3 linked regions of the Tamandua tetradactyla genome follow. The protein of the gene in region 2 interacts with the protein of the main gene of each other region in a pairwise test. Links are inferred from orthologs where the notes say so. Each region holds a gene or a part of one and is shown on either strand. Other genes may lie near its edges. The genes, in order: PLLP, membrane-spanning 4-domains subfamily A member 12-like and MALL.

Region 1 (7,798 bases), on a different chromosome or scaffold from region 2:
CAGGCAGTGCTCCTCCAAGCAGCCTTTTCCTGATCCCTGCAGGGGAAACACATCCTCTGGGCATCTCCTTCACTGACCAAGAGCTCCTAGAGATCTGGTGCTGGGCCTGGAGACCCCATCACCCTCCTTGACCAGGCCCTGTGCCCCCCGGAACACAGCTGAATGTGGTAATTAAGAGCATGGGCCACTAGACCCCTCGGGGCTTAAATCCCAGTTCCACCACTCCCAGGCTCTGAGATCATGGGCAAGTAATTGCCCTCTGAGCCTCAGTTTCCTCACCTGTAAAGTGGGGGAATTATAAGAGGACATAAAACTTGGCAAAGGGACTGGAACCTAGCATGTACCTGATTTTGGGGAGATGTTGTCACTGTTAGGTCTTCCCAGAAGACATGGTACCTATTGAGTGAACAATACCCCCCCAAACTCAGATTCAGTGGAATTGTCCATTGTCAGAGAAACAGCTCAGGAAGTAGCTTCTCTAAGAAGCAGGTTGGTGAAGCATCGATGCCGGTCTTCAGAACTCTGATGAGAGTCCCAAACGCCCTAGGGGTGTCTTATGCGGCTTAATAACTCCACCTTATGTTCTTTCTGGAACCAGATGGATTTATCATTTGAACTAGTGATAAATCGGTGGACAGTGCCACACATCTTCTTTTACAGTGCTGGGAGTGGGCAAAGGAAACCTATACACAAATGAATCCTAGTGGGATGTCAAGCTCCAGTGAGCACATGTGGTAAGTCATACATTCTATTTAGACCTATATGAAATGAGATCCAGATGCTCAGAGCTGGGCTGCTGAACCCCCAGGAGACCCCCAAATCAGGAATTCAAGCCTCCTCCTGAGGCTACCAAGGTCCCTGCAGCCACAGCCTCTGTAGGACACTCTCAGGGCTCTAGTGCAAATGAGCCATGTGCTCAGGTCCTATGGACCAGAATCCTCAAGCCGCTTAAATGGCCAGGATCCACCCTGCCAGCCCAATCATTGTCCTCAGCCCAGCAGAAGTCCCTCCCTCCAAACCCTCCCAAAGCTCCCCGCTGCCAAGAGAACCAAGTCCTTAGTCTCATGGAGTTCTCAAAGCCGGCAGCTTCTGGCCACACCAAGTAACGGGTGCTTCAACTCCAGCTTCACCAATCTGATTGCAACTCCCCACCTCTAAGCCTTGGCTAACACACTGCCCTGAGCATGGAATTATCTTCCAGAGATCACAGAAAGACCTAGCTCAAAAGCCACCTCCCCCATGAAGCCTTCCCAGACTCAGAATTATCACTGTACTCCGCCGGTTTGCACCACTTCTCACAAGGCACCTGGCTGTCCCCTCTTGTGGGGCTCCCTGAAGACAGCGTGCCCCAACACTGTTTCCTGCTGTGCCCTCTGACAATCAGCCCAGAGCCTGGCACACAAGCAGTGGCCCAAAATTTAAATTAGTCCAGGAAATGGGTCTCTTCCCCCTCAGGGCAGAGGAAAAAAAAATCAGGCAGGGAGAGGAGTTTAAAAATGTAGATTTCTGGGCGGCACTTCTTGAGAGTCAAATGACAATTCACATTCTTTCCAGGGGTGGGGCCAAAGAATCTGCATTTTAAACAAACCCTCCGGAAATCTCAGCTGCTGGGGTGGGGGCAGGGACCCCACAACCTGCGATTGGAGCACCGCTGGAATAGAAATAACATGGGGGTGGGGGTGGGTAGTCGGGAGTTCCTCACCCAGGAGAAAGGGGGAGCTTTCATTCCAGCCGAACCTCGACACCAAGTGTAGCTACCTTGCTCTCCTGCCGGCCTTGAATAAGGACCTAGCAGCAGGGGGACGGCAAGAAATGTCCCTCTAGCTGGATTTAAAGGAAAATGGATCCTGGTCCACCTCCAATGCCACCCTACGCCTCCGTAAACGGACCAACACCTCAACTGGTGGAGAAGCCTCCCACGGGGGGCAGCCACCCAGCTTCGAGACTCCCGTTAAAAGTGGTTTGTGGGTAGAAAACGAACACCCCCAGGCCTGAAACTCGTGTACCGGGGTAGGGAATGGAGTGGGCATTCCAGTCTCTCCACCTCTGCGGGGGTCTAGGGAGATGTCTTGTCTCTGGTTTCCCAGAAATGCTGGTGCTCAGGGCGCGGTATCTCGGCGCCACCGGGGCCTGCTAAACCGGCTGGAACCCGGCAAGTCACCCAGAGCAAGCCAGAGGGACCCGGCGCCCTCGCGGACGCCGAGGAAGCCGCACCTAAGTGTATGTGCTGGGAGAACGGATATGTCCTCCCAGTTACGCAGAAGTGTGTTCTGGGGTGCAGCCACACGGAGCCGCCGGGGAGCTTGGTAGAAGATCAAGAGAAAGCGGACATTTCCTCGGACGGCGTCCCCTGCAGGACTAGGGAGCTGGAAGGCCGGCCTCGTCCTGGCAGAGTGTGTGTGTGTGGCGCACATTGATTGTGGCTTCTGTGAGCGTGTGGCCGCGTTGGGCGTTGAGGGGAATGATGGGGAGCTGCAGAGTGAGCACTGTGTCCATTAGTGCATGGTGCCTGTACTCCCTGGGATTGCAAGGGGGGCGACTCGTGGTGAGAAGGTTCCAGGGGGTTCTCGGGGGCTTCGGTCCTGGAGGCACCCCCGGGGTAGGCGTCGGTACGCGTGTTGGCCCAGCCAGGCGGGGTGCGGGCTGCGAGAAGGGTGCGCAGCCCAAGCCGCCCCCCTACCCCATCCGTCCATGAGGCCCTAACCCCTCCCAGACCGGACCGGACCGGACCGGACCTCCCGCAACTCAGCCCGGCGCGCGCCCTCACCATCTGCAGCAGCATGAGCGCCCCGAGGCTGGAGCGTACGAAGCCCAGGTCCGGGCGCAGCGCGGAGGAGGTGACGCCGGCGCCCTGCGCGGGGCTGCTGGTCCGCGTGCTCACTTTAGACGGGAACTCGGCCATGGCGGCTCCGCTCGCCTCCAGAGGTTTGTGCGGCCGTCGCCGTTGCCGTCGCCGCCGCCGCTCCCGCAGTGGGTACGGGCTCCCGCGCCGCTCCTCCCCTGGGGGCCCAGCTGCCGTTCCGGGCGCAGAGCTCGGCGTCGGGGCGGGGAGCCGGGAGCCGCCAGGTGCGGCCGGAATCCCCGCCCCGCCCTCGCGGCGAGACCCGCCCCTTTAACCCTTTGCTCGCCGCCGGCCCGCCGCGACCCTTTCGTACGCCGCGGGGTCCACTTCACAGAGGGGGAAACTGAGGCCGCGGGCAGCGAGGTGGCTCCCCCATGGCCAGCCTAGGCGGCCGCGCGTGTTTCTCCCGCAGAATCTTCCCCGCACTCGCCGCGCCTGGTCTCTCCTCCGCGCGCCGCCTGCCCGCAGCGTGGGTGCCGTGGGATCAACAGGTAGCCGCGAGCAGAACCCACCTGCCCTGGCTCTCCCGGAGCTGCGCGCCCTCGCGCGAGCCTCTGCGCCTCCCTGGAACTCTTTCAGTAAAGTGGGATCAGCATCGCTGCCGAGCTCCTGCTACCGAGTCGCCGCGAGACCTAGCGCGCGGGAAGGGGAGGGATGCGTGTAAACTGTGGGTGCAACGGTGGAGGGGCCGGGCCTTTTATGGCTCAACTGATGTGATTTTCACTTATGTATGTGCAATGCAGTAACTCAGAAGTTCGCTGAACTTCTTACCTGAAAATAGATCTGGAGGAACCTCATTTCACAGAGCTGTTATTAGGAATAAATGAGATATTTCATGGGGATCCCCAGCATAGGTCCTGGCATGCCTTGAACGGGGGCGGGGGAGTGGGGAGCTCAAAGGTGACGGAGTTTCATTGCTCTACCCGAACCCTAAAACTCGTATGCACACACAGAAACACACCTTAGACCATCACTCGTAGAGGCTTGCATAGATAACTCATTAACTCATTCGTCAACCATTGTTTGCTGGACATCTAAGAAGTGCCAAATTCTATCTAAAACCTTGGTGATAGAGAAGCTAACAAGTCAGACAAGTCTTTCTTGGATCCCACTTTCTGGTGGGGGTGACAAATATAAAAACTAGGGAGAAAAAATATTCCTAATAGTGACAAATGCTGTCATGAAAATGAAACAGGTGGGTGCGATGCTGAATGAGCAGGAGGTGATTTTCAGATAGGGTGGGCAGGGAAGCCCTCTTGGAGGAGGTGACATTTATGCACTGAACTGAATCATGGATAGGGGCCAGTCTTGGGAAGAAGACCTGGGAGAAGAACTTATTTAGCAAGTCCAACAGCCATGAGGTTGGACCACGCTAGAAAGTTTGAGGAACTAAAATCTTGGCCTTGGTGTGACATTGAGCTCTAGCAGGGACCAGATCACAAAGCACTGCTTAGATTATTGTCTTAGTTTCCTGTGACTACGGTAATAAATAACTACAAATTTGGTGGCTTAAAACACGAAAGTTATTTTCTCACATTTCTAGAAGCCAGCAGTTTCACAGAGCTGACAGCAAGTTGCTGGCAGAGCCACACTCTTTCCACAGCTCTAAGGAAGAATGTCTCTGCCTCCGTGGTCACACTGACTCCTTTTCTGCGTATGTCAAATCTTCCTCTACCTCGTTCTCAAGGGGACACTTGTGACTGCCCTGAGGCCCACCCACATCATTCAGGATAATCTCCCATCTCAAGACGCTTGGTTTAATCACAACTGCAAAGACCCTTTTGCCCTGTAAGGTAAAATTTCTTATCCCAGGTCCTAATTCCTGCCCCGTGGACATCACTGTATTTGGAAATTGGATCTTTGAAGATGTTATTCGTTAAAATAATGACAAACTGGATTAGGGTGGACCCTAATCCAACATAATTGGTGTCCTTAAATGAAGAGGCTGTTGGACACAGACAGAAGACGGCCATGTGATAGAGGCAGAGATTGTGTTATGGCCACAAGTCAAAGAACTCCACGGGCTGTTGGCAAGCCACCGTCAGAACTTCAGAGAAAATGTGGCCCTGCCCACACCTTGATTCAGACTCCTAGCCTCCGGAACTGAGACAATTAATTGTTGTTGCTTTCAGCCCCAGTTTTTTATATTTTGTTATAGCAGCCTTAGGAAACTAATACAGACCTGATCTCTCTGAGTGGCTATCAGTCAGTCACTGTGATGGAGGGCATTAGCATTTTATTGTGATGGAGTGCATTAGCATTTTATTCTGAAATCTGGAGGGCTGTAATCAGGGGAGAGGCAGGGACTGATGGCCACGTGGAAAATTTCACTGGTTGGTTGATGCTGACTTAACTTTTGCCCAAGGGGTCAACTGGATATTCCACCTCTTACTCCCACCATGCACCTGGACACACTTCCCTCCTCCCCCCACCATAGGTTCTCTGGAAACTAGTAGTGTAATTTGGTAGCTGCAAAATGTCATGCAGAGACCAGCCTTTCTGAGGACCGGTTGAGTCCAAATGCTGAGAAAAGCTTGGGTGGGCTCTTAATTCTATGATGACACAGAAAACAATAAGATGATTGTTTCAGAGGCAGATTCTGAAACAGTAGTGTGTTTTTGTTTTCTCATTTTTGTTCTTGTTTTGATTTTTTTTTTTTTTTGGTTAATCCCACTTTCATTCCTTTCAAATGGCAGCAAGCAAAACTGAATCACTGCACTGTCTTTTTAGTTCAACATTTTTTTTGCCCAACCAATCTTACCGGCCCCCAGACAGAAAAAGTGGGTAGGAATCTGTCCCCAGGCTGGGACCTGCCGCCCACCTGGGTCTCCACTGGTTCAAGGAGAGCCCCAGGTTCTTGGGGAGAAGGGTGTTGAGAGGGAGGAGGAGACAGGCAGTCCGCTACCAGGGTTGGATCCCCTGCTGAGGTCTGAGCAGACCACCCTGACACAGATTGCCTGTCGCACCACGGGTGGGCATGATCCAGAAGGGCAGGAATCTGAGGCTGAACAAATGTCTAGTGAGCACCTTGAGACAGAACCCGGCACCAGGCAGGGGCCCCACCCTCAACAAGTAGATAGTCTGCTGGGAGAGACAGGCCTTCTAGATAAACAAATCCACAGACAAGTAGATCGTTCCCAACTGTGATAATGCTACCATAGCAGGGTGCCATGGGAGACAATACTTCTGAGGTCTGAAGGATATGTTTTCCATAGCAGGATCAGAGAAGGTCAAGACATTTAAGCAGGGACCCCAAGGATAAGTAGGCACCACGCAAGAGAAGAGCATTTCAGACGTGTGCAAAGACCCTGGGGGCAGGAAAGACTTTGAGGTTGTTGAGGAAGAACAGAGGCTGTGAGCTGTGGAAATGGGGTAAAGATGAAGTTCTGGAGGCAGCCAGAGGCTAGGTCACCTGTGTCTTACCCTCTTGGTACCAAAGTGGATTTATTCTAAAAAAAAAAACAAAAAACAAAAAAACAGACATTTGGAAGGTAGTTACACCACTTCATTTATAATTTTAAAAAATCCACGAGGATTGAAATCACTAGGATTCAATATAGGAATGATCAGACCCCAAGAAAAGGTACAGCCCTCAGCCAGCACCAAGAGGGAGGGATTATTCAGCAGGGGACAGGGATCTAGAAAGCTTATTCTATCCTTCATCCAACAGCCTTCAGAAGCCAACAGTCTGAGGTTTCTGATTATAATCAGCAGATATCTATTGAGCACTTTTCCATCTAGCCCTATGCTCCCCGCTATGGGGTTGGTTAATTTGGTTAATCTCTTTATTTTGAATCATATCATTAATTCATTAATCTATTTCATTGCATATCACACATACATCCAAAAACCTACCACCCATCCCCCTCCAATTAATTTCTGCTAAGAGTTAGGAGTATCCTTCCCTATCTTTCCCTTTCTAAATATAATATATTATCATTATTCTCTTGAATTATATATATATAGAAGTGGGATTGTTGGGTCATGCAGTAATTCTATACTTAACTTTTTTTCTGAGAAATTGCCAAATTATCTTCCAGCTGCATCATTTTACACTCTTCACCAGCAGTGAGTGAGCATTTCCATTTCTCCACATCCTCTCCAACAATTGTAATTTTTATGTTTTTTAAAATAACAGCCATTCCAATGGGTATGAAATGATATCTCATTGCGGTTTTGATTTGCACTTCCCTGATTGCTAATAATGAGCATCCTTTCATGTGCTTCCTGGCCATTTGTATGTCTTTTTTGGAGACATGTCTATTTAAGCCTTTTATCCATTTTTAAGTTGGGTTGTCTTCTGAATGACTGAGATATAAGAATTCTTTATATATTCTGGACACAAGACCTTTATCAGGTATATACTTTGCTAATATTCTCTCCAATATGTGGCATGTCTTTCATTATAACAGTGTCTTCTGAAGAGCAAAAGTTTTCGATTTGATAAAATCCTTTTTATCGACTTTTTCTTTTATAGGCCATGCTTTGTGTGTTCTAAGAAATCTTATCCTATTCCAAGGTTACAAAGATTTCCTGCTAGGTTTTCTTCTACAAAGTTTTGTAGTTTCACTTTTATGTTTCGGTCTATTAGTTAGGGTTCTCTAGAGAAACAGGATCAGCAGGAGATATCTGTAAATATAAAATTCATAAAAGTGTCTCATGCAACCATGGGGATGTAAGAGTGCAACATATGTACGGCAGCTCTAATGAAGGTCCTCAATGAACTCTCAGGAGAGACTGGCTGGCTGAAGCAGGAAGAGTGATTGTCTCTTATGAATCCTCCTTAAAAGCCTTCTGGTGATTAGATTAAGTGTCACTCATTGCAGAAGACACTGCCCTTAACTGATTGCAAATGCAATCAGCTGTGGATGCTGCCAGTGTGGTCATGATTTAATTCCATGAAATGTCCTCACAGCAACAGATAGGCCAGCACTTGCCTGACCAGACAACCAGGCA
Region 2 (7,582 bases):
GAAAAATTATTTTAAATATTACCAGTTACCTTAGGTATGTCATATTCCATCAAAAGAAGATCTACAAATTGGAAATTACTCTATCCAGAAGCCATTTTTAACCAAAATAAAATGTTATCCTATAACTTTTCAGGATAAATAGTTGGAACTGAACTACTGATGGATGAAAGGTATATTTTTAAAATACAGCATTACTGCCTTATTTGGAAAGAAATGTTTAAATGAATATCCTGTGTTTGCAGAAATTATTTTAAAATCTCTTCTTTCTCTTCTGTCAACATACCTGTGAGATCGATTTCTCTACTATGGATGTTATTTTAAAAAAAACATAGAAAGAGTTTAGAAATACACTGTCCCTGGTAAGCAGCATTGCCACCAATCCAATTTAGATTAGACAAATTAACAAACAAGAAGCCCTGATTCCATTCAAACTTCAAATAACTTTAAATAGTGACATACAAAATGGCCATTCAAGTGTGAGTGTCATCAGAACACATGGTCTTTGATAGTTAAGCCAGCCTAATCCTGGATCAAACAGAGAAACAAATCTCTTTGTCATAGTGAGCTGAGTTTTACTCAGGGGCACAGGAAAGGAGCTAGAGGAAAAATTTCCCAAGACCAGTTCAGAGGGAGAAGGGTGATTTGGGCTTTTATAACACTAAACAGAGAAGGAAATGGCCAAGATCTAGAAGAAAGCAAAAGAAAAAAAATAGAGGAGGAAAAGCTGTTTGGTTAGCATATTCAGTTATTCTGTAGGCCCTTCTTTTTGTTGACCATTTAGGTTTTTTATCTTGTTCTTCGAAGGAAAGAAGGTGATGATATTAGTCTAAATGGTATTTTATTCTTACAAGCAGAGCAAGGGAGGATTTTATTACTGTAACAGAAAATAAATTTTTGAGATTAAATCAACAATAATCTATTTCAAAAAGGGCTTTTAGGTTCAAAGTAATTCAAGGCTGCTTGAGTGAAATGATTATAATAAACATTTTTCTAGCTACTGAGGATTATACTAAACGTTTTCCAGCTAAAGGAAAATATTGAGTATTTTTCCTAATTATCTAAGTAGTACCAGTAAAGACAATGTGGGAAATCATTATTTCCTTCATCACTTTTGTTTAGTTACAATTTTTAATGGATGACAAGTTAGAAGTATAACAGTGATTTTATTAATTGCCTATCAAATGATGTTTTCAGTTTTGTAATTCTTTTCTATTTTCCCATGTCATGTTTGTTCAGGTTATATTTATTACAGCATAATTTTTTGCCTGCTGAGTCTAATAAAAAGTTGCACTTGAATTGCTATGGCTTTTATTTTTTCTACTGTCACATTTACCATATTTTCCAAAAGCATTGGTCCATATGCATCGGAATTTTTTTTTAATATAATTCTTCTGCACAGATAGTTTGAGAAGCACTAAGCTGGACGACCATGTCTTGGGGTCAGTGCTCTTGTTTATAGACCTCACCCCCAGAACCAGCCTTTACCGGCTCCAAACCCACAGAAAGGAACCCATGGGTCATAACTCTCTGAATCTGGACTGAACTTCGGCCTGCTGGCTGATCTCTTAGGAATCCAACTCCACAATTAGGCCAATTTCTCCAGGTTTGAAATCTTCTAAAACAAGGATTTAATCAGGAAAGCTAACCAGAGAAGTGTTTTCATGGTATTTAAGTTGCAATAACAGGACACAATGGCTGCAATAGATTGTTCATGAGCAAACACTCACCTACACACCCTAAAATTTTACTGCCTATAGGAGCATATCATGTTTGTTCCAAATTATTGTTCCCACCTAAGTTCACTCACTGGTATGTATGACTGTCCTAGAAGAATAGAGACGTAGACATTTTAATAAATGGAGCAATTTATTTGTTAATATACGAGGCAAGGTATCTTCATACAGTAACAAAAAGGAGAAAACAGGAAGCAGTGAACCATTTTGCAGCACAAAGGCCACCTTTGCAGCAAGCCAGCATCGTTTGGATGCTATACAAAAAACACAGCACTCGGGTGGTATGATAGTAGCTTAGTAGCAGAATTCTCACCTGCCATGCTGGAGACCCAGGGTCGATTCCTGGTGCCTGCCCATGCCAAAAAAAAAAAATCACAGCACTCTGCATTTGCATGGCATCTTCTCACAAGGGCTTTACCACTCTCCTGATTATGCAGGTTTTGAGAAATCAAGAATGCACTGATTATCATACTTATGAAGTGATAATTCGCTGACAGTATAAATGCAGTGAGATGGCCATTTATTTCTGACAGTGAGTATGGTCACATTGAATCACATCCTTCACTAACACATGTTCAAATCCCAACCTGTGTCCTATGGGTGTGAACCCATTGGTAAATAGGATCTCTGAAGGTCCTTTTAAGGTGCAGCCAAGCTGAGTCAGAGACAGGCCTTAATACAACATGGTTGTGCTAGTTTGAAAGGATGTATGTCCCCTAGAAAAGCCATGTTTTAATCAAAATCCCATTTCATAGAGGTAGAATAATCCCTATTAAATACTATATGGTTGAATCTGTAATTAGATCATCTCCCTGGAGATGTAACTCAGTCAAGAATGGTTGTTAAACTGGATTGGGTAGAGACGTATCTCCACCCATTTGGGTGGGTCTTGATTAGTTTATTGGAATCCTATAAAAGAGGAAACATTTTGGAGAAAGTGAGAGATTCAGAGAGAGCAGAGCAGAATGACATAGCCACAAGAAGCAGAGAGTCTACCAGCCAGCAACCTTTGGAAATGAAGAAAGAAAATACCTCCCAGGTAGCTTCATGAAACAGGAAGCCAGGAGCGAAAGCTAGCAGATGATGCTGTGTTCACCACATGCCTTTCCAGATGAGAGAGACACCCTGACAGGTTTGCCATGTGCCCTTCCACTTGAGAGAGAAACTCTGAACTTCATCAGCCTTGTTGAACCAAGGTGTCTTGCCCTGGATGCCTTAGATTGGACATTTCTATAGATTTGTTTTAATTGGGACATTTTCTTGGCCTTAGAACTGTAAACTAGCAACTTATTTAATTTCCCTTATAAAAAGCCATTCCGTTCCTGGTATATTGTATTCCAGCAGCTAGCAAACTAGAACAATGGCTGAAGTCCTTCTAAGGAAAGGAAATCTAGACAGAGTCACAGACGACTGAGCAGGAGAAGCCAGAAGACAGATCACTTGTGACAGAGGCAGGGACTGAGCCACATCAGAATGCTACAAACTTGGGAGAAAGCATGCCCTGCCAATACCTTGAGTTTGGACCCCTCGCCTCCAAAACAGAGACAACAAATTCCTGTTGTGTAAGTCAACCAGTCTGTGATGTAGGTCACAGCCAAATAAGATACATGCCACAGCCATCAGGCAAAATAAGACAGCTACTTAGAATGCAAAATTGCGTGTAACTCTGTACCCATTTTAGAGAAATGGAAGAGAGGGGTACTCTGATTTGGCCAATAAATTCATATAGTTAGTGGAAACTACTTAATATTTGAAATCCTAGTAAAAAGTCATAGGAAGACAGCAAGAGTATTACCTTATTGGTAATAGGGAATTAACTTAAAAAAAAAATGTTGGCCTTTGATGGCCTTTGATTCAAGCACAATACCAATAAGATACAAATCTGTAATTCATGCAGCAGCATTTCAATTTCCTTCTCAGAATCAAAGGGATCTGAGCAAGAAACCAGTAGGCAAAAGAAATTTGGATTATAACATGATTGTACTTGTTTATTAAGATAAGGAATCTGTTCACAGATTTCCATCCAAAAATATTGAAAGGAAAATGTTTGCATGCTTAAGGGATTAAAGTTTATTTATCTACAGAAATTACCATAGTCAGAGAACAGCCTAATTTCCCAATTATGCTATGAAAAGCAGGTATGGCAATATATGTAAAAGCAGTACTTATGGAGCCTTCTTTAGTCCTTGGTAAATCTTCAGCACTTACTAGCCTTGTTTAAAGAACTCTGAATAAAATGCATTCTGTACTGGTCAAAGAGCATTTTCTCTTCCTTAAAAAAAAGGAAGACATTCTGAAGCTAGTGCATAAAAAAAAATTATGAAATTATGTCTTATCTCCTGCCTCCTGGAAGGGTTACAGAAATAAGAATTTAAAAATACCACATGGAAGCATCGCATCATTAAAGCCACCAACCAACCCCATGGATATGAGACCAGGAAGGAGCAAGAACACTTTAGATGAAGAAAGATTAAGTTTAAGAAAGAATTCCTCATCTATGGAGAGTCTAGAAAGCCACTCATAGAAAGAAGCGCCCTCTCTGCTTCAAGAACACTGGTCTCTTCAACCTTCTTTTCTGCTGCTTGGATGACATAAATCTGCCCAGTACAAAGGAGAGGAAGCACAGTGTATTCTAAAATTTATAAACAGGATTATATATCCATTTGTGGTGGAAGATAGCCCATGATAAAAGAACTTTGGACTATATAAAACAGTTGACAGGTTGGCTTGAAATGAGGAAGTAAAATGTACTTATAAAATCTGAAACCAACACAGAGCTTGAAGCAGAGGCAGAGGGGACGCAGAGGTGCCAAAGGAACAGAGTAAGTCCATTAAAACATCTCTACCTATCTCTTCACCCAAATGAATGTGCATAAATAGTGGGGCTGCTCTATCTGTGCAGGTTCTCTGCTACATTCTGTTCTCTTATCTGGAGAGTGAAGCCAATTCTTGACTATACGTTGAGATCAGTAGATAAGTGAGGGAAAGCAAAACCAAGAAGAAAGGAAAGAGGAGAGAATTGAAACAGGAGAGCAATAAAATAAAAATAACAGGAGAGAAAGGAAAGAGGAAGTGCACCGTTAACAGGCAAAAGGTACTGCAAGAAAAAATATCAATAGCTAAATGCTAAGAGAGATAACATGGTAGGTTCAGATGTTTGTCATTTCCATGAACATCAATCAACAAGGAGGAGGCAATGTTCTGCTGTAAGCATTTGATGATAATGTAGCTACCACACGACTTTCACAGAAAGCCCTATAAGGAGTTGGTTTTGTAATAAATTTTAATCAAGGTGCCTCTTTCTGATAAGAAGCAAAGGTGGTGAAAATCACACATTATCACCAGGTCAGCATGTTTATTTGTGGAAAGCTATATACCTGCATACCTGTCAATGCACTGAGTAAGCCCATTAAAACATCTCTACCTATGAGTAATACTGTCGAAATGACCCACCATTTTGTTTCACCACGGTCATGAAACATGGTCAGCAACACCCAATGATATTAAAAATCAGATTAATGTGGAAGTAAGATGGAAAGAAGCTAGCAAATGTAAATGATTACATTTGTAAATGTAAATGATTCCCTTTTGTATTTGAAATCAACTAAACAAAAGGCAAATTATGAGCTCCTGTCTTATTACCATAGCCGTATCCTTTTGATCTCATCAAACCTTTTACTTTGCAATGTGTTCCTTGTACTTAAAAATGATTGCAGTTGCTCTAGCTTTTAGAAAGAAAGATAACTACTGATAATTATTTTGCAATACCCAAGAGAAAAATTGTGCTAGGTCAATGGAAAGAGTCTACAAAGAGAGTCTATTCACTGGGTTCTTTTTTCTTGTTATCATTTCCAGGAATATCTTCATTTCACTTAGTTATTTCCCCCAGTATTTTTCCCTCCCTTTTTACCAACTGTGCAACCAGCAAGACTGTTTATAGAATAAGTCGTTTTTAGTATAAATTAGAAGGATTGAAATTGGCTGGACTCTTTATTCCTTTTAAAAAAAAAAAAATCAGGGGCAGGCCACAGTGGCTCAGTGGCAGAGTTCTCGCCTGCCATGCTGGAGACCCAGGTTCACTTCCTGGTGCCTGCCCATGCAAAAAAAAAAATCAGAACATAACCCAGTAAATACTCATTCTGGGACCAGCCACTGTCTCTATAGAGATATTAATAATGAAGAGTCTATATGAAGCTCAAATACTTTAGCCCAGAAACTAAAGAGTAGATACGAAATCAGAAACTGTCGATAAATCAGTGAAGACTTAGGTTTCTCTTATCAAATTTGGGACAAAAAAAAAAAAATTCCCAAGATCAACAGTAAAAGAAGGGATAATGAGATCAGATATATGCAGAAACATGGGGTTTAACTGTATACTTTAAAAAAAAAAAAACTCCAGGAAATTTTTGTTCTGGTTAATTACTGTACCCCAAACCCTCACCTCTTATCTACTCACTCTTTGCCTTGACCTTTTAAAATTCAATCCTTGCTATAAGCTTACCATATGACCACATCCACAGCTTAAATTGGGAAAGGAGGCTTTGGGCTCTAATAATAAAGTGACAGCTATCTTTTATTGAGCCCTTGCCATACGCCAGACACTGTTCCAAAGGTTTCATGGGAACTACGATCATTTGATCTCCACACTACCTGTCTTTGAAGGGAGACATCATTAGTCTCATTCTAGTTGAGACATGGGGACCAGCAAGGATTTAGGGAGGTTAAGTAATTTACTAAAGGCCCCAGAGTTAGTGAAGTAGCTGACTGGGGATTAGAAAACAAGGCTTGAGCATAAATGACCAAGGAAACCAGATCCTTGAGCTGCAACCTCATGTTCTTCAAGAATCACAGCTATGGAACTGTTTAAATTTCTTTGTTTAAAATAACCTTTTGTGCCTTAATTTTTTTTTTCCATTTTGAAAAGGTAATCCCTTGATAATCAGTGGTTTCTGAGTCCCCTTCCTGTTGAGTTTTCAACCTTTTCTCAGTGGTTGCTAGCATTTGGGTAGCTTAGAGCAGTGCTTATGAATGCAGGTTCTAGATTCAGTTTTCTCATCTATGAAATGGGAATAATAATAGAACCTACCTCATGGGTTTTGCAAAGCCTAAGAGAGATAATGTTTCACATACACTTATAGCGTTATTATGTAAAAGGTACAATTCTAAGACATTTGCATGGAATGATTCTTAAGTACTCAAAGCAACTGTGTAAGGAAAGAACTCATTATCCACATTTTACACACAAGAAACTAAGGCAAAGAGAGGTTAACAAATTTTCCAAAGCATAGCTGGTGTCAGAGCCAGGATTCCAACCCAGAATCCGTGTTCCCACCCATGACAATGCACAGCCTCTGCTGGGCACAGAGTAAGTGTTTAGTAAATGTTAGCTCTCTGGGCAGCCTACCCGAGGCTCACTGAGAAGAGGCCTTGCTGGCTTAGTTTTTGAATCACTAAAAAGTCAGTCTGGTTTACAATGTCCTCGGCACAGCAGCAGAAGGCAGTAGTTTTGTCTTTGGGTTGTTGTAGGTGCATAGTCAATTCCCCATCTCCAAAGCTAGCCTGGAAAACCACCTCTGCAAGCATCCACAATGAAGTAGTTTGGTTTTAGTAGGGGAACTCTGGACCAACAGTCAAAGAGCCCAATTTTCTCTTCCTGGCTCCACTACACATATTCTATGTAACCTTGAGCGAATCATTTAACCTGTCTGAGCTTCAGTTTCTAACTGGTAAACTAAGAGGAATCAGACAGGATGACTGGAAAGACTCTCCAACCCTGAAATTTCAGAATTCTCTATCATAAGCAAGGTAAATCTCCCAGTACAAAAAGGATGCCTTGTTAAAATGCCAGT
Region 3 (8,065 bases), on a different chromosome or scaffold from region 2:
GTGCCCATCTGTGTCTCTCTTGGTCCCTTCTGGAGGACAGCCCCCCCCAACACACACACGCACACACACACGCACGCACGCATGCACACCTTTTATCCCATCTCTGGGAACAGGCTCTGACTGCCTTAAGCAGGTGAGCACAACCCTCTTCCTTGGTTACCGTGACAGGATTGCAAATGGGCCAAGGGAGCAAATTCCAGAAGATTTTCTCACCAGAAAACTCTCATTCACTGTTCAGTATCGGGAGAGATGTGCGGTCTGGTGGCATGCATGTTTGGTGGGGGGTGGGCATGGGGGGTACCATATGAGGTGGACAATAAAGCCAGATGCAGAGAGGGCAAAGCTGACAGGATATGGGGCCTTGGGAGCTTTGTTTGCATTACTGGATCAAGCCTCACCTGAAGCACCACAAAGCCTTGAAAGCTGAACTGACAGTGGAGCCATAGCTCAGAAAACGCAATGGGAACCCCCAGATTGCTTGATATTTGAATAGCCAAGAAAATCTCAACATTTCTCAAGGAAAAAGACAAAGGACAATTGAGATACCAACTTGAGTCCATGTGGCACCGGTGCAGCAGGTGGCTGCGCAGAGTCGCCGTGGCGGAGCTGCAGCAGCTCCGAGCACCTGCCGGGGGCAGGGGACTCCATGGGGAAGAGCATGGAGAGAGAATATCCGGAAGATGCAGGGCTTCATATTCTGGTGCAACGCAGCTGTTGCCAGGACAGCCAGGCATCCATGCAGCAAGTGCATCAGTGCACTGAGCACTGCCATGCGCCTCCGGCTCTCGCCCAAGTCCTGGTGACCATGAATTGGAGAATTTTCAGGACCACTTGACCCAGTGCACCATGCATTGCTGTGACAAAGCCAAAGACTCAATGGATGCAGGGAGTAAGGAATTTCAGGTGCAGCAGCAGCTGGGGGGCTGTGTGACCAGGTGTGCGGGCAGCCATCTGCACCCCGTCCCATCCAGGCCCGAGTCTCTGTCACCCATGGGGAAGTGAGAGTCTTTGCCATCAGGGATGTGGGCAGGAATCTTTATAAAAGAGGGCTGGAAATTTTGGTCCTTTAAGTGAAGTTTATGAATGAAGAACTTAAGGATTTCAGCAAGGTTAAGGACTACGTCACCTGCCTCTGGACCCTGGTTCTTTTATATACTTCAGTCCATAAAAAGCAAAATGGAAAAAAAAAAAAAACGGTGCTAAAATCTAGATGAGAGACAGCTCAGGAGTGGTGTTTTTACAGCCTAAACTTCATGTAGCAAGTGCTTGTCCGGGCAGTAGGGCGCTTCTGGAGCCTCCGATATACCAAATTCTTCTCGTTTCACAGGTACTAACAGCTGGCAGTTCCCTTTAACTTGCCTGTTTGAGGAGGTCTGTCTGCTGCCAACCTCCTGTTTTACCAGCAGTATCATCACACCATTTTCCATAAGTTGTAAAACAAAATCCATGAGGTCACTGATTTAAAAGGGAAAAAAAAGGTTTCTGGGTCTTTGATTTCGTTTTATATACAAGGGCCTGAAATTGTTGAAGATGTGGAGTTGAGAGAAAGGGCACTTAGAAAGCGATATCAGCTTGAAGGTGATACAAGTGTTGGAATCGAGACATCAAAGCAGCTCTCGTAGCTATGCTCTAAGAAGTAAGGACAAACACTTTGCAATGAATAGAAAGACAGACGGTACAAAAAAGAACCAAAATGAAAATATATACTAACCAAAATTGTAAAATTTAGTTGATAGACTAAATAAAGATGATAAGGAAAGAGTCAGTGAACTTAAAAATGGATTAGTATGCGTTTCCAATCTGAATAACAGAGGGGGGTATATTGGAAAAAAATTAACAGATCCTCAGGAACCTGTGGGGCAGTATCAAAGGTCTAATATTCATATCGTCAGAGTCCCAGAGGAAGAAAAAGTGTGTAGCACAGAAAAAATGTTATAAGAAATAATGACTGAAAAATCCCCCAATTTTGGGAAAGATACAAAGGTAGGAAGCTCAGTGAAGACCAAACAGGATAAGCTCAATGAAATCCATGCCCGGCTATGTCATAATCAAATAGTTAAAACTAAAGACAGAGAAAAAACCTTGAGAGCAGTCAGAGAAAAATGCATTACATATAGAGAATAACCATTTGAATGATGTGGATTTCTCATCAGAAACTAGAGAGGCCAGGAGTCGTACTGAAAGGAAAAAAAATCAACCCAGAATTCCATAGTCTACAAAAAAGAAAGAAAAGTTATCAACCTAGAATTCTAAACACCAGAAAAATATCTTTCCGGAGTGAAGGTGAAACAAAGACATTCTCAGATGAAAGAAAACGGAGAGAGCATGACCAGAAAACTAAGAGTGCATGACCAGCACACCTGCTTCACAGAGACGCTGCGGGGGGTCTTCAGACAGCAGAGGATGACCCCAGAGAGAAGCCTGGGGCTTTAGGAACAAAGAACAGCAACGTAAATAGTAAATATTTGGGTAAATATAATAGACTATGTTTTTCTCTTAAGTTCTTTAAAATACATGTGAGGGCTGAAAGCAAGACTGACTGTCGGTTTTGAATGTATGTAGATATAACACGTGACAGCTAAACTTAAAGGCAAGAAAGTAAAGGGACTAATGGTGGAAAGGTTTTGGTAAAATATTAATTCTGAGTATATTGTTCAAAATTAACTATGTAGATTGTACTTCCCAGAGCAACTTCTAAAATAATATGAGATAAAGTAAAAACCCCAATAGATGAATTTAAATGGAACACTAAAAATATTGAGAAAACCCAAAAGAATGCAAGAAAGAGGGATCAGAGGAATGAAATATAGAGCAAACAAATAGAAAACAAAAAATGGTAGATGTAAATCCAAGCATATAGATAATTTTATTAATTGTAAATGATTTAAACATCCAAGTAAAACAGTAATTTTCAAATGGATTTTTTAAAAAAATCAAATTAGATCATGCACGCACACACACACAAGCTGCTCTAAGTGTAGTGCTATAGGTAAATGAGAAGTAAAAGGATGGAAAAATGTCTACCACGCAAGCATCAAGGGGATTCTGCATGCAAATACTGTTTATAAGCAACTATAACTTGCATACATTGTTGGTGGAAATATAAATCGTTCGACTACTTTGGAAAATAGTTTGACATTATTGCTAAAAACACATGCCGTGTGGCCGTACTTCCACTCGCAGCAAAAGTGCATACGTACACACACAAATACATGTTGTAGCATGCTCTGAGCAGTACTATGCATTATTCATAATTACCCCAAGTAGAAAGAACCCAAAAGTCCCTGAGTGTAAAGTGGATACATACAGTGTAGTGGGCTCCTTCACTGGGGCCCCAGAGAGCACTCAGTGAGCTACAGCGTCGCACAGCGACATAGCGGAGCCTCACAGACCAGCAGCAGGTGGAGGAAGCCAAACGTGACAGAACCCAGACAGGATCCTTCAGCCCAGGCAGAGCCCGTCTGTGGGGTGAGAGGTCAGAGCGGCTGCCCCCGGGGGAGGGAGGCCTGGTTAGGAGGGACGGCCACTGTTCCATGTTCTGATCAGGACCGTGGTTTCACAGTCTGTAGGTTTCGTGCACTTTTCCAACGAGTGTGTCATACATCAACAAAAACAATTTTTTTTAATTGGAATGAAAACACTAACCAGAGAAGGTGCAGGTCTTGCTGTAGAAAGGAACGATCGCCAGAAGAGAAGTGGTTTCAGGATTCCAAGCAGATAAACAAGTACTTATGAAGTGTCTGCCATAAGCCAGCAGGTCCCAGATGCTTTCCTAGATCTCATTTAATCCTCTCCAACTAACAAGTGAAGAACGGGGAACTCCAGCCAGCGGTGCCAATGACTGCTTACGTGGGTGTCAGGACGACCCTCTAATCTCCAGCTCCAGGCAGGGGGACCTGCAGGCCCTGTGCGGGGGAGTCCAGGGGCCCCCCCTCGGGCCTGCCCTTCCCCAAGGCCTACACATGGCCTTTGACCTTGTCTCCAAGTGCGGCCACACCCACAGCCCCAGGGATAGAGTGCTGAAGCCGAGGTGGTCCGAGAGCACTAAGCCCGGTCCCTACTGGGGCCTCCCCACCTGTGTGCGTCTGAGCAGTACAGTTAGTTTCCCTGTGCGCAGCCTGGCTCCTGTGCTGCACTTAGTCGTATAATCAGTTGTTACCAGGTTAGACGTAAACATTTAAAGCATACCAATTTTAGTAGCCTCGTTTTAACAATGTCTCCATTTCCTATTACACCCCCATGGGCGCAGGAGTGCAGTGGCCGGGGCCCTGGTCCTGTGTGAGCTCTCTGCTGCGCAGGAGGGCAGCCCCCTGGAGAAGGTGGCTTTCCTTCTTTACCTTAAGATGTGCACACTATGTGGTTGCACATCAAGTCAGAGCGAGTACCGAGGGTTCACGCGCAGGTTTCACAAGCAGTGAAACAGGTGGACTCCTGGGAAACGTCGGCCTGGCCTGGTTAATCCTGTGAGCAGGTGGGGCCAGGTGGCAGGCGGGGCCAGGTGGCAGGTGGGGTGGGGCTAGGCTCACCTGGAGGGCGGAGCCTGGAATTCACTGGCTTCCAGGCCTCTTGCCGGCAGCGCCAAATTGCAATCCTCCCCCGTTTGGTCCTCGCCAGGACAGCCGAGGCCAGGACAGCCGAAGCTGGGCGGGGCAGGCAGAGGGGTCCCAAGGCCTGAGCACCCGCATCGGGGGAACTGGGGTCAGCCAGTTCTCAGGGGGGAGGAACAGGGCAACCCAAGGGGGCGCGGCCTGGGGCGGGGGCGCAGGAAGGACCCGGCTCCGGGCAGCCACAGCTGGGGTCTGGGGGATGCAGGGTGGGAGGGGCGGGAGCAGGGGCGGGGCTTCGGCGATTCAGGAGCCACTCCACGCCCAGAACTCGGGGTGCGGTGGGGTGGGAGTGGGGTGGGGTGAGGGCATGGGGGAGGGCCGCCGAGGTGACCCGCCCCCCCCCCCCCCCGTCCTGTGCCCTCCAGCCCCGCCCCCTCAGGGCGTCCCTCCCCTGGGCCCGGCCCGGGGCGGGGTGGGGGGGGGAGGGGGCGCCCCAGTTCTGCCCCGGGACCTGCTGGGCCGGGCGGCCTCTGCCCTCCCCGCGACGTCGCGGGGTGTGGCCGATGGAGGCTATTTGAGGGCGGGCGGTCGCACTGCGGGGAGGCGCAGGCAGGGTGCGAGCATGGCCTCCCGGGACCCGCCCGCCAGCAGCTACAAGGGGCCCGAGGTGCCCTCGGGGATCGCGCTGCTCACCACCGTCCCCTTCGCCTTCTTCCTGCCGGAGCTGGTGAGCGCCGGGCGGGGGGGCCAGGGCAGGAGCTGGGCCAGGGGAATGGGCCGGGGAACAGGGTAGGGTCACGGGCACAGGCCAAGGCAGGGCTGGAGGGCAGGGGGCTGGGGCAGGGCAGGAGGCTGGGGCAGGAGTGGAGGACAGGGGCCGGGGGGAGGTCAGGGCCCGGGCAGAGGGCAGGGGGCTGGGGCAGGGTCGCGCCTCCTGCGGCACCCGGTGGTTTCGGTCCCTCCAGCTCTGGATCCGCCGCTGTCCCCCAGAACCAGCCGCTCCCACTTGGGGCTGCTCACCGCCCCCGCGGACGGGTGGATTTCCTCTTTCCAAAACAAATCCCACTGTGGGGCGGGCGGGCGGGCTGCCGGGCCGCTGGGGGTGGGGGGGGACAGGACTGAGAGGCTGGGGGTCTCCAGAAGCTGGTGGGGCTGGACTGGCCCGCGGGGACCCCCTCCCCGAGCATGAGTGCCCGGAGAGGAGTCCAGGCCCCCGGGAGTCTTCGGGCCATCTCAGAGGTCAGGATGGCGACTGATAACGCGCACCCACGCCAGGCGGCGTGTGACAGTCCCTGCCGCAGAGGGGGCAGGAGCTCCCCAGGGCAGGTGAGGTCCTGTCACCATGGCCCCGCCCACCTGGTCTGTCCCGTCTGCAGCATGGCTCCGCACGGGCCCCCAGTGTCCCCTCCTGAGCCGGCTGTCGGTGCCCCTTTTCCCGATGGGGAGACCGAGGCCGGCTGAGATGCACGGGGCAGAAGGAGAGCACAGGAAACGCCTTCCCAAGTCTCTGCTTCTGGGTGACCTTTTCCCACCTGCTGGGAGCTTGGCCCGGCTCCTGGGTCCCGCCTCTGGCCTGGGCCTGGCTCGCCTTAGGTGCCTGGCAGGCAGCCCGGCGGGACTGACCTCCTGGCCACTGGTGAAAGGGCGCGCAGTGATGTCAACGTGAAGGGAAGCCGGCAGGGCGGGCCGCCTGTCGGTGACTCCAGCGGAGACCCCACCCGAGGGCGGCGGCCGGACACAGCGCGGGCGTCTGGTGCAAGGGCCCTGGTAGGCGTGTGTGCTGCGCCCCACCCCACCCCCAGAACCCACACGGGCCAGGGGGCGCCGCAGCCTTTGTGGGCACATGGTGTCTGTCAGCAGTCCCGCCTGGACAGAGGACACTCGGACAGGACTCCCCAGGTGGGGGTGGGAGGTGTAGAGTCCCAGTGCCCAGCTCAGAGAGTAGCCCCGGGCAGGGGCTCTGCCGTGCTCCGCCCCCCTCCCCCAGGGTGCTGTGCTCATGGGAGCATCCCACCGAATGCCGAGGAGCAACATGCTTGGCTGATTTGGGCTCTTGGAGCTTTAAGTATTTTGCATTGTCACTAGTTCAGTTTTATTCATTTATTTTAAAATAACTTTAGGTATACAGCAAAGTTGCAGAAATAGTGCAGAGCATTCCCGGGTGCTCCTCTGGAGTTCCCCTGATGTCACGTCTTGCACAGGCAGCTGGAGAAATCAGCAAACTGATATCAAATCCTCGCCATAGCTCCTCCATAGCCGTATCTGAATCTTGCCGGTTTTCCTGCCAGTGTCCGTTTCCTGTCCAGGATTCCGTCCACGCTGTGCTGTGCTGTCCTGTTAATCCAGGACACCTCCTCTCTCTTTGCCTTGACGCTGCTGCAGAGCCCTGACCGGTTGCCTTGTAGAATGGCCCTCAGTGTGAGCTTTTTGATTTTCTCATTACAGTTTTGTTCATTTCTTAATTCATGAGCAATCCTCGTTCATGGGCGAAAACTTAGAAGATGTAGAAATGTAGTTTCTCTGTGTTTTGGTTTGCTAGGGCTGTAGAAGGCAATATACCAGAAATGGGTTGGTTTTTACAACAGGGATTTATTAGTTTATAAATTTACAGTTCTAAGTCCATGAAAACGTCCCAGTTAAGGCATCAGCAGGCTGACACCTTCTCTGAAGAAAGGAAGGCACATGGCGCGTCTGCCGGCCTCCGCTCCTGGGTTTCGTTGCCTTCAGTCCTGGCTCTGTGGCCTCCTCTCTGAGCTCCTGTGGGACCTCCTGGCATCCCCAGGGCTTCCCTCTAAGCACTCTCAGCCTTTCCTGCCTTTTTATCCCCTCGTAAAGGATCAAGAACTACCTTGAATAGAGTGGGTCACATCTCCATGGAAACCACCTAAACAAAATGCCCCCCTCCCCCACAACAGGTCTGCCGCCACAGGAGAAGGCACCTGGCCTTTTCTGGGGTGCAGCACAGCTTCAGCTAGCACACCGTGAAACTGGGGCCTATCTGTGCAGCCCTGCCGCGCGTCTATGTACCCCTGCAGGACTTCGGCAGGCTTAGTCTGGGCGGGCTCCCCCTAATTTAGCAGGAATTACGGGACCACGAGTCATGGAGGTCAGCTGGAGAGGGGGCATTGCCCCGGGCAGGAGGACAGACAGGCAGACTGGCCCTGAGTAGGGGCCCTCCGGCCTCTGGACACCACGCAGAGGGGCCAGCCACACAGCCCCGGCTGTGGGGGCGCCTCAGACAGGAACGTGTTTCCTGGAGACAGGAGTGCAGAGCGTGGATCCTCAGCTGGGAGGTCAGGCCAGGAAGAAGCCGCACAGGAAGCAAAGGCCAGTGACCTGGAGCTGGCGCAGGGTGAGTGCCAGCGGCACCCCGAGAGCCAGCTGGGCGGGAACCCCCACGTGGGAGCAAGAGAGTAAAGTACAAGGGAGTGGAGTGGAGAGCCGTGGCCCCTGGCTGGCCGGCGCAGCCTCGGGCTCTGGTAACAGGCGAGGAGTGGCCGCACCCCAAGTGCGGGTTC

What was found.
Region 1: the proteins of membrane-spanning 4-domains subfamily A member 12-like (region 2) and PLLP interact in binary tests that used the Homo sapiens proteins (3 or more experiments, as listed by UniProt). The two-hybrid records come from large-scale screens. The link is inferred for Tamandua tetradactyla from reciprocal best matches to the Homo sapiens genes MS4A12 and PLLP.
Region 3: the proteins of membrane-spanning 4-domains subfamily A member 12-like (region 2) and MALL interact in binary tests that used the Homo sapiens proteins (3 or more experiments, as listed by UniProt). The two-hybrid records come from large-scale screens. The link is inferred for Tamandua tetradactyla from reciprocal best matches to the Homo sapiens genes MS4A12 and MALL.

Annotation. Positions count from the first base shown.
Region 1 is NC_135342.1:50,961,686-50,969,483, forward strand, and holds the start of PLLP (plasmolipin), read right to left. Parts: upstream 3,020-7,798; 5' UTR 2,903-3,019; coding exon 2,768-2,902; intron 1-2,767. UniProt on the Homo sapiens protein: Main component of the myelin sheath that plays an important role in myelin membrane biogenesis and myelination. Plays an essential function in apical endocytosis. Regulates epithelial development through the regulation of apical endocytosis.
Region 2 is NC_135335.1:14,524,604-14,532,185, reverse strand, and holds the start of membrane-spanning 4-domains subfamily A member 12-like, read left to right. Parts: upstream 1-4,503; 5' UTR 4,504-4,555; intron 4,556-7,582. UniProt on the Homo sapiens protein: May be involved in signal transduction as a component of a multimeric receptor complex.
Region 3 is NC_135343.1:1,888,834-1,896,898, forward strand, and holds the start of MALL (MAL-like protein), read left to right. Parts: upstream 1-5,028; 5' UTR 5,029-5,169; coding exon 5,170-5,274; intron 5,275-8,065.